2 linked regions of the Pelodiscus sinensis genome follow. The protein of the gene in region 2 interacts with the protein of the main gene of each other region in a biochemical or structural test. Links are inferred from orthologs where the notes say so. Each region holds a gene or a part of one and is shown on either strand. Other genes may lie near its edges.

Region 1 (7,319 bases), on a different chromosome or scaffold from region 2:
ATCCTATTGACTTTGCCAGTAGAACAGGATGTTAAGAAAATGACTTGCCATATTGAAGCGATAAGGTCAATTTATGTATGGCTGGCAAGCTTCTGCCTTGAGCTGCCTTGGGAGCTAGGCTCCGAGTAGTCATGTAGGTTTCTCCATGGGGGTCTGTTTCTTCTCCATCTCTGCAGAATCTGTGATGATGCAGGATTGTAGCTTCAGGATAGTTAACCAAGGAATAGAGAGACCTGTCCTTTTACTCCTGTCTTGTTTTCAGCCACAGTCTCAAGATGAGAACTTTCAAGACCTTTGACTTCTATAAGAAGCACCAGAACAACATGACCCCAGCCGGGTTGGCATTTTTCCAGTGCCAGTGGGATGATTCCGTTACTCATGTCTTTCACAACCATCTCAGTAAGAAACTCACTTACTAGGGATCTGGGCCAGGGAGTCACCCTTCGCTTCCCCCTCCCCCCCCCATCCATCCATCCAGCAGTCGAGCATTACTAAATGTGTCTTGGAGGAGACAGTCATTTGGTAGTGCCTGGGGTTGGGAAAAGAGGACAAGAAGATGGAAGCAATTTGCTTAGACGTCAGACACACCTGACTGAAATCAGCCATGGCCATGTGGGCTCTCTGATGGAGCAGATGAGGTTCCAAGAGGCATGGGCGTGTGTGAGTGGAGGGTGAATTCAAAGGCCAGTTCTGACTTGCCCCTTTGGGGACAGTTGCTCTAACTGGTTTCTATATAGCCACGTATGCCTGGCACATTAGTCTGACACTGGGAACATTTACAGCTGAGCATTAGAAGCAGTTGGCCTATCAAAGGCTGCAGTGTGTTTGTGGCCATCTTAGGGTACATAATTCTGGGGGCTTCGAATCCCATTTTGACTGGGTACTTTAAAATAACAAGGGGAGAGGACGTGGCAGAGCGAGGTTCCATTGCCAGGCACTACATGTGTGGTTTTGATCTGTAATTAATCTCACATTCTGCCCTACGAGGGACGTGGGATCTTCTGAGCAATGGAAGTGGGGATGGGGGGTGATGGTGCAGGGTTAGGTTTTGAGAGGTCTTAGCTAATGTTCAGCATTGTTCCTTTGCAGACATGAAGGAGCCAGTGTTTGAGTTTGTGCGACCCCCTGTGTATCATCCCCGTCAGAAGAAGTTTCCACACCTGCAGCCTCTGAGGTACCTGGATAGGTACAGGGACAGCCACGAGCCCACATATGGCATTTACTAAGGCGTTTCCCACCACTCCAGGAGCTCCAAGCCACTGGGTCAGGAATACTCTACCTTCTCGACGCGTGTCAAATGCCTGTGCTGACGGGAACGTTCCATGACTCTGGGAGAAGGGGGATGTGAGCTTTCACAATCACAGCATGCTGTGGTCTAAGCTCGGATTCATTGACAACACTGGAAAGAATGTAACGGAAGTTTGCCAATATTTCTGCTATTGGTCGTTACCTTGGTCAAAAGCCTTGTTAATAAAGGATATTGTGGCCATGAGAGTGTCTCCACCTCTGCTCTGATGGCCTCTGAGCCAGATGCAAATGTTGCTGACCAGCCCAGTGCCCTCCAAAGGCACTGTATCTCACTGCAGGAGCCAGAACTCTAAGCATAGATAGCTGGAGGTGGGCCAAGACCCATCAGTTCAGGTCATGTATCCACACAGAGAGAAAAATACTTTTATCTAAATCCAGCCCCGTGATCTGTACAGCCCGGAAGAAGGGGAACTGCCCATTTGGTGCATTTCTTTCTTCCCCACCATGAAATTCCCAGTTCTGGGATTCTGGGCAGCATCCTGCATATTCTGTACAGATATTTTAACAATCTATAAAACACTTTCCAAATGAAGCTGATGATGTGAGTCGCTGACAGCTTGGGGAACCCACAGGCAATGTTCCCGCTAATTTTTTCCATTCTTGTGTGGAATACGTTTTATGTACACCAAGGCATATGTGGATGTGCACCACCATTAGCAGAGCACCCACAGCATGTGTTTCTAATCAGCTGGGCAGCAGTTGCATCTCTCCTGGGCAACTACCCAAGTGCTCAGCTTACAGGCAACTAATGCAGCAATTCAAAATGTATTACGCTCTATGTGCTTCAGGACTGATGCGATCAATGCTTTACGCTGATTTGATACTGCACTCCTGCACCCCTGTTGGTCATTGCCAGACAAGAGGAAATGCAGGGTTCTGATATAGACATCAGACTAGGCTGACTAGTCTGCCTACATTTTGAGAATGAGTATTAAGGGGACTGGGCTCTACTCTGAAATTAAGAGAACATGCAAAGCCCAGGCGTGTCCAAACCCACCACTTCTCCAGGCCATCAACAAGGTCTGGGTGTTGTTCTTAGAGATAGGTCAAAATCAGAACTCAGTCTGGGTCATGGCTGAGACATGTTGGAAAGTCACTGAGTGCGGGACGCTTTCAGCAGAGGCAACAGTGCATCTGCTGTGTAGATATATGGTGCCCACCAATTTCCACAGCTCTGACCCTAGTACCTATCACTAGCCTTAAAATTGGCCCCCCATTAGATTTGTTGGCTGCCCAAAGCGGCAGTAAGGAATCCCAGGGCAGCTGACTGGCCTGCAGTTGCTTCATCCATCGCTGTGTCACTGAGGATGCATGTAGAAGCATCAACACCCTACCTATGCCAGGACTCCAGGGCTATGTCTACACTCCTGGCTTCTTGTGCAAGTACAGCCGTTCTTGCACGAGAATCCGCAGAGCGTCCACACTGCCACCACCCCTCCTGCGCAAGGAAATTTACAGTATGGCATAAGAGAGGGCTTCTTGTGCAAGTGCTATGCTCTTTTTTCTCAGGTGTAAGCCCTCTTGTGCAGGAGCTCTTGCGCAAGAGGGCAGTGTGGATGCTGAGCAGGGATTTCTTGTGCAAGAAAGCCCTATGGCTAAAATGGTCATCAGAACTTTCTTGCGCAAGAGAGAGTCCACACTGCCATAGGTGCTCTTGCACAAAAGCAGAGCTCGCACATGGCGGTGTGGACCTTTTGTTGCACAAGATGTTCTTGCGCAAGAAGCCGCCAGTGTAGACAAAGCCCAGCTGAGTTCCCTGCAAGAACTCCTGTTTACCTGAGTTGCCTCTTGCTGAATCTGTGGTATTCCTCCTGTTGAAGGAGTAAAGAGTACTAACCAAAGACATTTAGGCTATGTCTACACTCGCGGCTTCTTGTGCGAGTAATATGCAAATGAGGCTAAGCATGGAATATTGCCGAGCCTCATTTGCATACCTAATGAGCCACCGTTTTTTTCGGAAGGGGCTCTTGTGCAAGGAGCGTCTACACTGCCCCTTCTTGCGCAAGAAATGCCCTCTTGCGCAATGCCGTTCTTCCTGAAAAGTAATAGGTGTAACCGCATTGCGCAAGAAGGGGCAGTGTAGATGCTCCTTGCGCAAGAACCTCTTCTGGAAAAAAATGGTGGCTCATTAGGTATGCAAATGAAGCTCAGCGATATTCCACGCTTAGACTCATTTGCATATTACTTGCGCAAGAAGCCGCAAGTGTAGACATAGCCTTAGTGTTTAAGTACCCACCCTTTTACATGCTCCCTCAGCGCCACAGCGATGGATGCACCAAGTGCAGGGCTAGTTGGCTGCCCTGCCTTGGGCAGCCAACAAATTTATGCTCACAGTGCAATATCCCTCTGAGGGAGGGATACCTCTGCTGAGTGAGCACAGGCCCCTCTCTGTCTCTAATGGGATAACATTGGCCTGACATTCCTCTAAATCAAACCACAGACCACCTGGTGCTGCATGGAGATTACAGACAGCAAATTGACTTGATATGTGGGGAGACTGTGTAGCCTGGAGTGTGGCAGAAATAAGAGCCTTAGCGGAAGGTCTTTATGGGGAGAGATGGGACAAGGAATCAGGGATGGAGGGGGGGTTTCAGCTCAACTTTTGCCAATGTTGATTTTGGAAGGAGAAGGACTGAGGAGTCCTGGGTGGTGCTGCCACAGGGTTTGCAAGTGGCAGGATTGTGGCTGAAGCTGGGGCCAGTCTCTCTATGTGAGAAGTTCCAGCCCATTTGCGCACTGGAGATTTCAGATTGGCTGCCTCCCGCCCATTGCCCAATCTCCTGCAGCAGAGCAGCCAGTCAGAGCTGCTGCAGGCAGTGCTCCTCCTTTCCCCTCCACCAGTAACTCAAATGTTCTCAGAGGAGGCAGAAAGAGACCAACGAGCCAGGTCCCTCTGAGCAATGGGGACAGCACCTCTGGTACCTCCCTACTACTAGCTGGCCTAGGAGGTGAAGAGCCCTTGCCTATGCCCCAGGCCCAGGAGAGGGGGGTGAACCACAAGAAGTGCACAGGTGAGGCTGGGAAATGGGGGATGTGAGCTAATGGGGGTGGAATTAATTATTGGGCAGGAGGTGGGTTAGATGGGCCAGAGAAACCCCTGCACAAGGGCCAGACTCTCATGTCCCAGTACATTTGGGAGAGTGGGCAACACTAATTGTCCCACACAGATTGGGCTAGGCAGGAGGTGGCTGACAATCAGAAATCACAACACTGGATGCTTTTTTTTTTCTTTAAAAAACATCTGGGGTCAGGCAGAGAGAGGATGGGGGGCGGGTTAAGGGTTAACTAGAGCTGGAGGATAAAGGGCAAAACAGCTAGTGTCTGAGTACAGAAGCAACTGGCTTTTATTATTTCCAGAGCGCGATGTGCAGAGACAGAGGTTTTAGAACAGGTAGTAAGTAAAGCAAGCGCATAAGCCAAGCAGAGCCCTGGCTGAGAGCTTGCAGCCTGAACGAAGTACAGCTGCTTGTAAGTGTTATGCCTCTGATCTCATGGCATGTGTGGGAGGAGAGTGCCTTGCATCACACAAGCAGTGGCACAGTTCTCCCTCTGATCTACCCCCATGCTCCCTGGACACAAAGTGGTAACAGAAAGACCGTTAGGTCCCAGTAGGAGTGGGTGGGACTCTGCTTGATCTGGAGTGGTGAGCAAAAGGGCAAGAAGTAGACAAAATCTTAAAGACATGTTCTGTGGTGATAAGATTCCACAGAAGAGCTTTGAACTCCCACCAACCCCAGTCTCAGACTGCATCCTTGGGATCTAAATATGGGAGGCTCCATCCTTCATTGGCTGTCCTAGGTGTAACGGTACTCCCCTCCCCTTGTATTCTCCACTGACTCCTCGTGTGATTGCATGTGGGGCTTGCACTCAGTCATGGCACTGGCCTCCGGGTTTGTGATCTGTGGAGCCAAGCTTTGTCATTGTAGGTGGGCGCTGGCTGCTGCTGAGACCTCCCAGATGCATGACAGCCTTTTGCAGTTGCTCTGCCTTCCCATAGCGAGGAAATGCAACATCCTGTTAGGTTGCAATGCATCTCCATGTTACATTTCACTTAGCTAGCAATCCCTGCCCAGTGCTCAAGGCCCCTGACCAATGCTGGGGCTCTGTATGGCTACGGTCTGCCCTGCTGATCCACTTCCTCAAGCCAGCAAGGACATGAGTGCTGCGTGCAGAGTCTCTGGTAGGTCCTCTCTGGTTTGCCAAGGGCTCTGCGTCCCACACCCCCCCGCCCAGCACCCCCAGCCTGCCCCTGCCCCGCCCCCTCTGCGTCCCACAGCCCCCCGCCCATCACCCCCAGCCTGCCCCTGCCCCGCCCCCTCTGCGTCCCACAGCCCCCCGCCCATCACCCCCAGCCTGCCCCTGCCCCGCCCCCTCTGCGTCCCACAGCCCCCCGCCCATCACCCCCAGCCTGCCCCTGCCCCGCCCCCTCTGCGTCCCAAAGCCCCCCGCCCATCACAATTCCAGCACAGAATTGTGGTCACTGTAATAAAACGGTGGGGGAGAGGGAAGGTGGCAAGGCTCTGCCTGGTTTGTAAAGACAAGCCCTGTCCCAGGAGAAAATGGCTGTTCGGGTTGAAAGCTGAGAACTCCTCTCAAGGGCTAAACAGAAAACAGCCAAAAAATTAGCTAGCAACACGAAGCTGAGCAAAGGCAGCTTTTCAGGCCTCCCCAGGCAGCCAGCAGTCTGAGGGTCTGGGAAATGAAAACCAGAAAGTCTCCTTGAGAGAGCAGAGAACAGGTGTTCGATAAATACAACGCCGCCGGCCTGTGTGTCCCTTTAAGAGCTTAGCTGGCTCTGTGCCCATCCCTCCTCTCTGCAAAGCATAGCTCTGTCCTAGCCGCCTCTCACGCTGCTGTTTGATTTCCTTCTCTGCCTCAGCTGCTCTTGGCCTAGCAGGATGGCAGCTCAAGGCCCCCAGAAGCTGGAGGAGAAGCTGGTCTGCTCCATCTGCCTGGAGATGTTTGGGACACCAGTGACCATGCCCTGTGGGCACAACTTCTGCATGAAGTGTATCAACAACCACTGGGACAAGGAAGAGATGACAGCTGCTCCGGGCGAGAAGGTTTGCACCTGTCCCGACTGCAGGAAATGCTTTGGGCAGCGGCTGGAGCTCAGCAAGAACGTTGCCCTTTGCGGCGTGGTAGAGCTGGTCAGGTCTGGCGAAGAGCAGGCCTCCAGCATTGAGAGGAAATCCCCCGTCAATGGGGGCAGGTGCTCCAGGCACGGGCGGCCCCTGGAGCTCTACTGCCAAGAGGAAAAGCTGTGCATCTGCTGTGTGTGCACGGTGAAGGAGTGCCGGGACCACCGCAGGGTCCTGGTCGAGGAGGAGCGCAGGAGAAAGGAGGTAGGGTTGGGCTGGGTCTCCCCTGTGAGCTGCGGGGCCCTAACTCACGGATGTAAAAGTTTAAAAAACAACACTAACCCTGTAACCAAACAAAATTCAATTGGTTACATGGGAAAACCTACCAGGGGCTCTTGGTGGCTGCCAGCCCTGCGGTCTCTCGGCAGCGGCCAGGAGTTTAACTGCTACGGTTAACCCAAGATTCAGCAGAACTAGCAGATGTTGCAGCATATTTGAACACTAAATAGTTAATAGTGTTGTGTGGCTGTCTGGTAACCAGCTCCCGGATTTCCTGCCTGCCTTCCGTGTGCGCGCAGCCATTCCAGAGCGGGACCCAGTAGGCATTATGACATGCACAGCCCTGCTCCTCCCACAGCTGCTTGAGAAGGCGACAGACACCCTTCCTCTGATGATTATTTAGGGCTAGCTGGGAAGTTGCCTGTGAGGGCGAAACTATAACCGGAGAGACCCAGCCTTGCAGTGTGAGAGAGAGAGGTGGAAAGACAGTGTCTGCTTCCTGTTGCCTGTGCTGCCTTTTAGCAGCCCAGTGCTGTCGCCTGCAGCCAGCATCCAAGCTGAGCGATTCCTCAATGCCTTTGTGGTGGAGCAAGACAGATTTGCAAAAGGGAAATAAAAGGCTTTCCATGTGAGGTAGCTCTCTCCAGAGAC
Region 2 (7,682 bases):
AAGCAAATGAAATGTATTAAACAGCAATTTTTTAAAAATAAAGAAAAAATGGGAAAGGTTAAAAGGAAAACACATAACTCTACTCTGAGGCAGAGGACATCATGAGTGGCAGTCTCTGGAATGTAAGGGAAGTTCACACTCTGTTCCTTAGACATCCAAGGCCCCCTTCTCAGGCCCAGACTGCTGCAGGGATGCTGTGGGTTGGATACTTGCTCTGATCATGGTCACACATCTTCAGGCTCTAGGTGGCAGGACTCTTCTTACTAGAATCGGCTTCTCCATCAGGGATATGATTCCCTTCCCAGTCTAGCCTGAAAGAACTCTTGGCTAAGGGTGTCTCTGCATTGGGCCCTCTCTTCAGGGCCTCTCCCTCCAGGAGTGACGTGAGTGGGGCACAAAGGGTCATATGTCTCCCCCCAAATGCTGGGGGGAGAGGAGACAAGCAAGGGACTGGCAGGCAGAGCTGTCCTCTCCTATGGATGGTTTGTCCAACTGTCCCATGCCCTGTGCGTTGCAGCTAGCAGTAGGGGTCAGCCCTCAGTGGAATGACCTGGCCCCACCCCACTCTGCTCCCCTGGTTCCCAGCTGCATCACTTTTACTTCCTGCCACTGGTGATTGCAGGGGGCGGTTCCGCCCCTTTCACAAATCTCCTCCCTCAGCAACAGACCAGAAGATTAGCAGGGTCCTGGCTTCAGGGGTCAGAACTACCCCACACTCACAGGCCACAACAGGAAGTAGAGTGAACAAGACCCAGCACACTCTGCTTCTCTGACTCCCAGCTGTATCGCTCAGTGGAGGAGGCTTGTGGAAGGAGTGGAATCACTCCCCCGTCCTCCACACTCACCAGTGGCAAGAAGCAGAGCAATGCTGCAGGGAGCAGAGAAGGTTGCAGGCGGGTCACTCTGCTTGCCATCTCTGATGCCTGTGAGTACAGGGAGGGAGGGGCTGACCCCTGCTGCAGATGCCAGGTCTCCGTTAGTTCTCCCCATCAACATCATTTGTGGGAAGGGATTTGGGGAAAGGGATGGAATAGGACAGGGAGGGAGCAGATAGGGACAGGAGAGGTTGGAAGGGGCAGAGTTTGGGGGAGGAGGTGGAGTAGGGGCAGGGCAAGAAAAGGCAGGGACTTCCCCTTAGGGTTGCCAGATGATTTCAACAAAAATACCAGACACACTTGACATTATATTGCAATCTACATTCCATCTTATTTAGAAAATACCGGACACTTAAATTTGCTCATTTACGTTTTCTCAATTTGTTTCCTGGGACAGAAAGCTCAAATACTGGACTGTCTGGTTCAAAACTGGATACCTGGCAACCCTACTTCCCCTGGGCTAGAGGTTGCATGGGGAGGAGTCTCATGGAGGAAGTCACATGACCAGTGCCTTCCTTGCATCCTTCCCCAGTACTCACCATTGCCCTCCCCCCACTCCCTGCTGGCCCCAGTTGTTCACCACATCCCACTCCAGTGGGCTCCAGCCCCAGCTCCACCCTCCTCAGCATGGGTCCTGTTCTACCTTCAGCCCAGAGCTGCTTCTCTCACCCCAGTTGCTGCAGCCCTGCTCCCAGCATGGATCTTCTCCCTGGTGCTCTCTGATTGGCTCCGTTTTGCTCCTCAGCTCAGTTTGGGCCCCTGGTCTCTCCTTAGCTCGGCCCCACTCTCTGACCAGGCAATTCCAGCTCACACAAAGGATGGCCCCCTCCCACTCCCTCATTAGCCGGTTTTCCCGTCAATCACGCTGACTTGGAATGTTGGCTTCTCCCTATTGCCCCTGGGGACTGTCCCTCTCAGGGTCCTGATTTCTCATTGACCCTTCCTTTTGCTACTGGCAGCTAGTCAGCCCCCAACCCTATTGAGCTGTAGCAAGGGGCCAAACCGTCCTTTACTGGAAGGGGCAATTAGGGGAAACTGGGGGCGGAGGGAGAAGAGGGCAGCAGGAAATGAGGGCGCAGAGGAATGGGGAGACCCTTGGGAACACTGTGACGGGGAGATGTACAAGTTAGGGCAATCATCCAGGGCAGTCCTCGCCCAGCACTGGGAGGAAGCACAGTTCTGCAGAAGCGTGGTGGCCACCGAAGTCACCACACAGCTGGCGGGAGACTAGGAAGGCCAGGGTCGGCTGCCCGGGCTGCAGGGAAGGAATCCCAGAGCCAGCGCTTCTCCGGGGGCGGGGCGGGAAGCAGAAGGGCTCGGCCTGGGTGCAGCTTTCCTGGGGCAGCCTGGAGGGGGGCAGAGCGACCTACCCGTTCATGGTCCTCATCCTGCAAGAGTCCCTTCTCCACACACTTGTTAGTGACCTCCGGGCTCATCAGCTTGTCCACCAGGGTGCCATAGAGCAGCTGCACCATTTTCACGCACATGTCGTGGTCGGCCTCCTCCGCCGGCGAGGGCAGCTGGCTCAGGCTGGGGTTCACGTAGCAGACGGCCATATCGCTGCCCCCCTGCTGCAGCGCGGTGACGAACTGCTGGATCCAGCCCGGCTCCTTGCAGCCCCGCTCCACGACCCCCAGCAGCTCCCCAGCCGCCTGCTGCTCGCCCCCCTGCCGAGCGACCGCCCGGATCCGCTCCTTTTCCTGCACGCTCAGCGTGTCCAGACAGTCCAGCACCGGCACCACCCGTATGTACTGCGTGAGCCGGGTCCTAAAGCAGGAGATCAGATAAATGAACTCCTCTTCGCGGGAGGGGGCCGACATCTTCTCTGCGTCCAGGTTCAGTGGCACGGCTGGGGCAGTTAGGAGTCGCTTCCGGGAGTCTCCAGTGCCCAGGGAGGAGGGAGGGTCCCGAGCTTCTCCGGCACTCAGCTCCTAGCTGCTTGGAGCGGGCAGGTGGCTGCGGTTCTTCTTGGGCGCCAGTGCAGCCACACAAACAGCTTGGTGGACGGGTGAAACTGCTGGCTGGGCACGTCTCTCCGAGGTACCCCGCTCCGTGCCTCCGAGGTTTTGCTGAGCTGGAGCTGACCACAGCGCTTTTAAGCTTCCCCAACCGGCCGCTTTCGGTTTCGATTCCTGCGGGCTGTTCGGTTTCCAAACGAAAAGGACTGAGCCATCTTCCTGAGTCCGCAGGCGGCCAGTCCCATGCTTCACTTTTTAATCTTTTCTGTGCACCCCCATGACCAGTTCTGTATAGATTCCTATCCCACCCACATCCCAACAACCTCTGCAAAGATTAAAAAGACAAGGACTGTTCAACTTAGAAAAGAGACATTTAGGGAGTTATTGATTGGGGGGGTCTATAAAATCAGGAATGATGTGGAAAAAGTGAATAGAGAAGTTTTATTTTTTTACCCTTTCACACAATACACAAAAATTCAATGATATTAATAAGTAGCAGATTTAAGGCAACAAGAGGAAGTACTTTTTCACACAATGCACAGCACAACTAGCCTGTGGAACTTGTCATGGGAGGTTGTTATGGACAAAAGTACAGTTGTGTTCATAAAATAATAAGTTCATGGAGGATATGTCTATATGCAGGGCTGGATGGAGGCATGGGCAAGCCGGGCAGCTGCTCAGGGCGCCAACCCAGATGGCAGCTGTAAGGGACCCGCGGCATCCCTTGCAGCTGCCATTAGGAGCTGCGCGCCCGGCTCCCACAGTGGCTGGACAGCAGCGCCCTTGCCCCTACGGTTGCAGGGCCATGCATGGCCCGGCGCGTGCACTAGCAGCACTGGCCGGGTTGGGCAGCGCATGCGCCGTGTGCCCCACGGGCGGGCCTGTGCATGAGCCCTGCGCCCGGGGGCAGCGCCCAACGTGCCAAAAGGGCTCAGGCCAGCCCTGTCTATAAGTGACTATTAGTTAAAATGATCATGGGCACAACCCCATGCTCTGGCTTTCCCTAAACTTCTAGAAGCTGGGACTAGGCAATAGGAGATGAATCACTCAATAATAGACCTGTTCTGTTAATTCTCTCTGAATTATCTGCTACTGGCCACTATGGGAAAACAGCACACTGGCCTAGATGGACTATTGGTCTGACCCAGTATGGTCATTCCTATGTTCTTACATAGAGCTGTAATTAGATATGAACACAGAAACTCTCCTCTGTTTATTTTCTCTTCTAACACTGTTTGTTTTCTGTTTCCCTTTTTTTGTACTTCCATTCTGGGTTTTGGTTTCAATTCACTCTGTGCAATTTAGTTTCATTGTTGTCTCTTATCATTCCTTTTTTATTTCTGGTTTGTTCTATGTCCCTTCTGAAGCTCCTTCTGTCTCTAAGATTTCATATTCATCCCCCTCTGACTTTCCTCTTATACTTCTCTCCAAAACATCGTCACTATCATCAGTCACTGCACTTTCCTTGTATTTTTACATTTTCTGATTTTGGCTGTCATTTTTCTTCACAATTTGGAACAGAGTTTTCCAACCTAAAGATCCTTGTTGCTAAGTAACATGGTTATTCACCCTTACTTTTTCTGAGCATCCTAGTTGCCATGGCACCCTTGGTTAGCACAAGCACAGGGTTATAGATAAATAGATTATAGGAATGATAGTCAGATCTGTAAAGGTATTTAGGTACCTACAGATTCAGATAGGTGCCTAACCTTAGGTACCTCATGGGATTTTTGTTTAAAAATCTTTACCTTTGAGTAAGAGGGTGAGTTTCTTTCTGTAAAAATGTCTACACCAAGACATGCAGGAATCCATTCTATATACTGTATGTGGAGTTTTATAAAAGTATCCTTACAGTCACATCTGACAGCAAAGCTATACTTCCCAACAATAATGCTTCTATTATAACCCTGTTAAGGGTTGGGTTAAGATACTTTTGTTTTAATTTGGCTAAAACCAGGAATAAGCATGGTGGCTTATCTCCCCAGGTAAGAAAAGACTGATACTACACACAGGGACTAGGAAAGTGAACAGGTAACCAGTTAACCGTTATCAAGTAAGCATCACTCTTCCTGGGTGATGCTTACCCAGTAATGGTTAACTGACTCCCAAGAGTAGTCCCCCGCCTGTGGCCCACCACAGGCAGAGGGCTGCTCCAGCCCTCCTGTGCCCACTGCACCACAGGGCAGGATGGGAGCTTGCAGCCCTACATTGAGCCAGGAGCTCTGTGCGGGATGGGGGTGGGGAGAGAAGGCTGGGCCCAAAGGGGACAGCAGAGGCAGCACTGCTGGGTTTGCGTCCCCCCCCCATTTAATTGGTTAACTGATTAATCCTAAGGTTTAAGCAGTTAACTGATATTACATCTCTACTGGGGACTAGATTCACAAGGGGATTCATGCATTGTGACATTCAGCATTACCACACTTAAAAGTTGCAGTTAGTTTGCTGAGGGCTTGGCTACCCTTACAGTGCTGCAGCCGAATGTTTCAAGCTTGGTGCAAATAGGCACACAGGCAAGACTGGGGACTTTGAGGCAGGAATGTTTTTACACAATCATGCATATTCAGCATAGTACACCCTGATCACGCCAAAAGGAGGAGTAAAATGGTAATTTTATTTCTGATCATCAAAAAGCAGATGCAGCCATAACATTGTTAACTACTAACATAGTTTTGCAACATCCTGAGTATCAGGGTGTTCTCCAAATAAGGGTGTGTTAGGTATATTACACAATGGCTGTGTCTACATTGGCAAGCGCCTGCTTTTGTGCAAAATCTTGCCGCCTGTCTACACTGGCCGCGAGTATTTGCGCAAGAACACTGACGTGGTAATGTACAAAATCAGTGCTTCTTGCACAAATACTCTGACGCTCCCACTCAGGGATAAGTCCTCTTGCGCAAATATTCTTGCGCAAGAGGTCAGTGTAGACAGGCAACCTTAATTTCTTGCGCAAGAAAGCCCGATGGCTAAAATGGCCGTTGGAGCTTTCTTGAGCAAGAGAGCGTCTACACTGGCACGGATGCTTTTGTGCAGAGGCACATGCCAGTATAGACGCTCTCTTGCGCAAATACTTTTAATGGAAAAACTCTTCCGTTAAAAGTGTTTGCACAAAATCATGCCAGTGTAGACGCAGCCAATATGTAATCAATTGTAGATATTATTAGAATGACCACGTTGAGTATAAATATAGGAGTATAAAGAATAAGCAGTAGGGGGGACTGAGCAAGGTATTCCCACATATCTTGCTTGCAGCAACTAGAAGCTGAACCATTCATTTCGGTAGATGCATTGTGGGTGCCTCTATGCTTGGGGAAAGAGTGAGGCCACGACCTCCTGTCTGGCAGTTGTAAGGCTGCTTACAGTTGAACTGCGTGTGATTTATAGAAATAAGTACATGTACATCTATATCCTTAAAGCTTCAGAGGGGTAGCAGAGTTAGTCTATAGCTGGAAAAACATTGAATAGTCTATCAGCACCTTCAAAACTAACAAAACATGTAGACGGTATCATGAGCTTTCGTGGGTACACAGATGAAGAAGTAGGTTGTACTCACGAAAGCTCTTGATACCAGCTACATGTTTTGTTAGTCTAGAAGGTGTTGCTAAACTATTTGTTGTTTTTCAAGTATATCCTTAAAGTTGCATACCTTGTGTATTGTCCAGCTGGTTTTGGAACCCACAAGGGGAAAGGCTATTCTTGATTTAGTCTGGATCTGGTTCAAGAGGTAAATATAACTGGACCGCTTGGAAATAGCAACCATATTGTAATAAAATTGAACATCCCTGTGGTGTGAAAAACACCTCAGCAGCCTAACACACTAGCATTTAATTTCAGAAAGGGGAATTATACAAAAATGAGGAAGTTAGTTAAACAGAAATTAAAAGGTCCTGGGACAAAAGTAAAATCTCTGCAAACTGCATGGAAACTTTTCAAAGACACCATAAGGCATAAGGATCCTGTGCAAAACAGGGTTTTTGCGCAAAAAACCCCCTAGCCACATTACTTTTCCCCCCAAAGAAACCCTTTGTGCAAAACCGGCGTGCAAAGATTATGCAAATGAGGCATGGTGATATGCTAATCCATGTCTCATTTGCATACACACTGCCAGCAAAACCGGCAGTGTAGACGAAGCCCTATCGGATAGTAACTTAAAAGTTAAACACCCAGAATACAGCATAACTGCAGCTACTGTAGGAAAAGACCTTATGTTATCTTTTCCCCAGTGAGACTGTTTGCGTAAGGATGAAAGAATCTGGCTCATAAAGAGATGTTTGCAAGTCTATAGTGCCTTTCATCAGAATATCTCTATACCATTTACAAACCTTTAACCTGAAAAACAAGTAGTCCTGAAAAAGTAGGTTTTGAACATGAAAGCTCATACTTTATATATATAATTTCCAAATAACTCCCCTCATTTCAAAATAACAAGCACAGCGTCCACACTACCAAGCCTGTTGTTTCAAAATAACTCCTGCTTGTCATGAGGAATAACACTTATTTCAAAATAGCTATTTCCAAGTAGCATTAGTGTAGAAGCTCCACTGCTGCTATTTTGAAATAACTATATACCCTAGTGTTTCCTGGGGCTCTAAGTCGAAGTAACACATCCACATTAAGGGTAAGTCTACACTGCAAAGTTATTTCGGAATAAGCTATTCTGGAATAGCTATTCTGAAATATCTTATTTCAAAATAGCACATCTACACTGCAGGGAAGCCTCAAAATTAGTCTGAGGCAGACTTCCCTAATGTAGACATGCTATCTTGATTTAGAGCCCTAGGAGGAATAACTTAGAATGACCCTGGTGAGGGGCTATTTCGAAGTAGCAGAAGTGGAGCTACACACGCCTTAT

Evidence for each region.
Region 1: of the proteins of IFIH1 (region 2) and TRIM65, one has a biochemical effect on the other in vitro, tested with the Homo sapiens proteins (2 studies listed by BioGRID, with this or other methods). The link is inferred for Pelodiscus sinensis from reciprocal best matches to the Homo sapiens genes IFIH1 and TRIM65.

The regions. Positions count from the first base shown.
Region 1 is NC_134730.1:11,107,153-11,114,471, forward strand, and holds the start of TRIM65 (E3 ubiquitin-protein ligase TRIM65), read left to right. Parts: upstream 1-4,172; 5' UTR 4,173-4,319; intron 4,320-5,283; exon of another isoform or gene 5,284-5,488; intron 5,489-5,866; exon of another isoform or gene 5,867-6,187; 5' UTR 6,188-6,206; coding exon 6,207-6,653; intron 6,654-7,319. Other genes in the region: FBF1 (fas-binding factor 1), read left to right, coding at 263-399, 1,090-1,226. UniProt on the Homo sapiens protein: E3 ubiquitin ligase that plays a role in several processes including innate immnity, autophagy or inflammation.
Region 2 is NC_134717.1:34,874,218-34,881,899, forward strand, and holds the start of IFIH1 (interferon-induced helicase C domain-containing protein 1), read right to left. Parts: upstream 3,004-7,682; 5' UTR 2,696-3,003; coding exon 2,246-2,695; intron 1-2,245.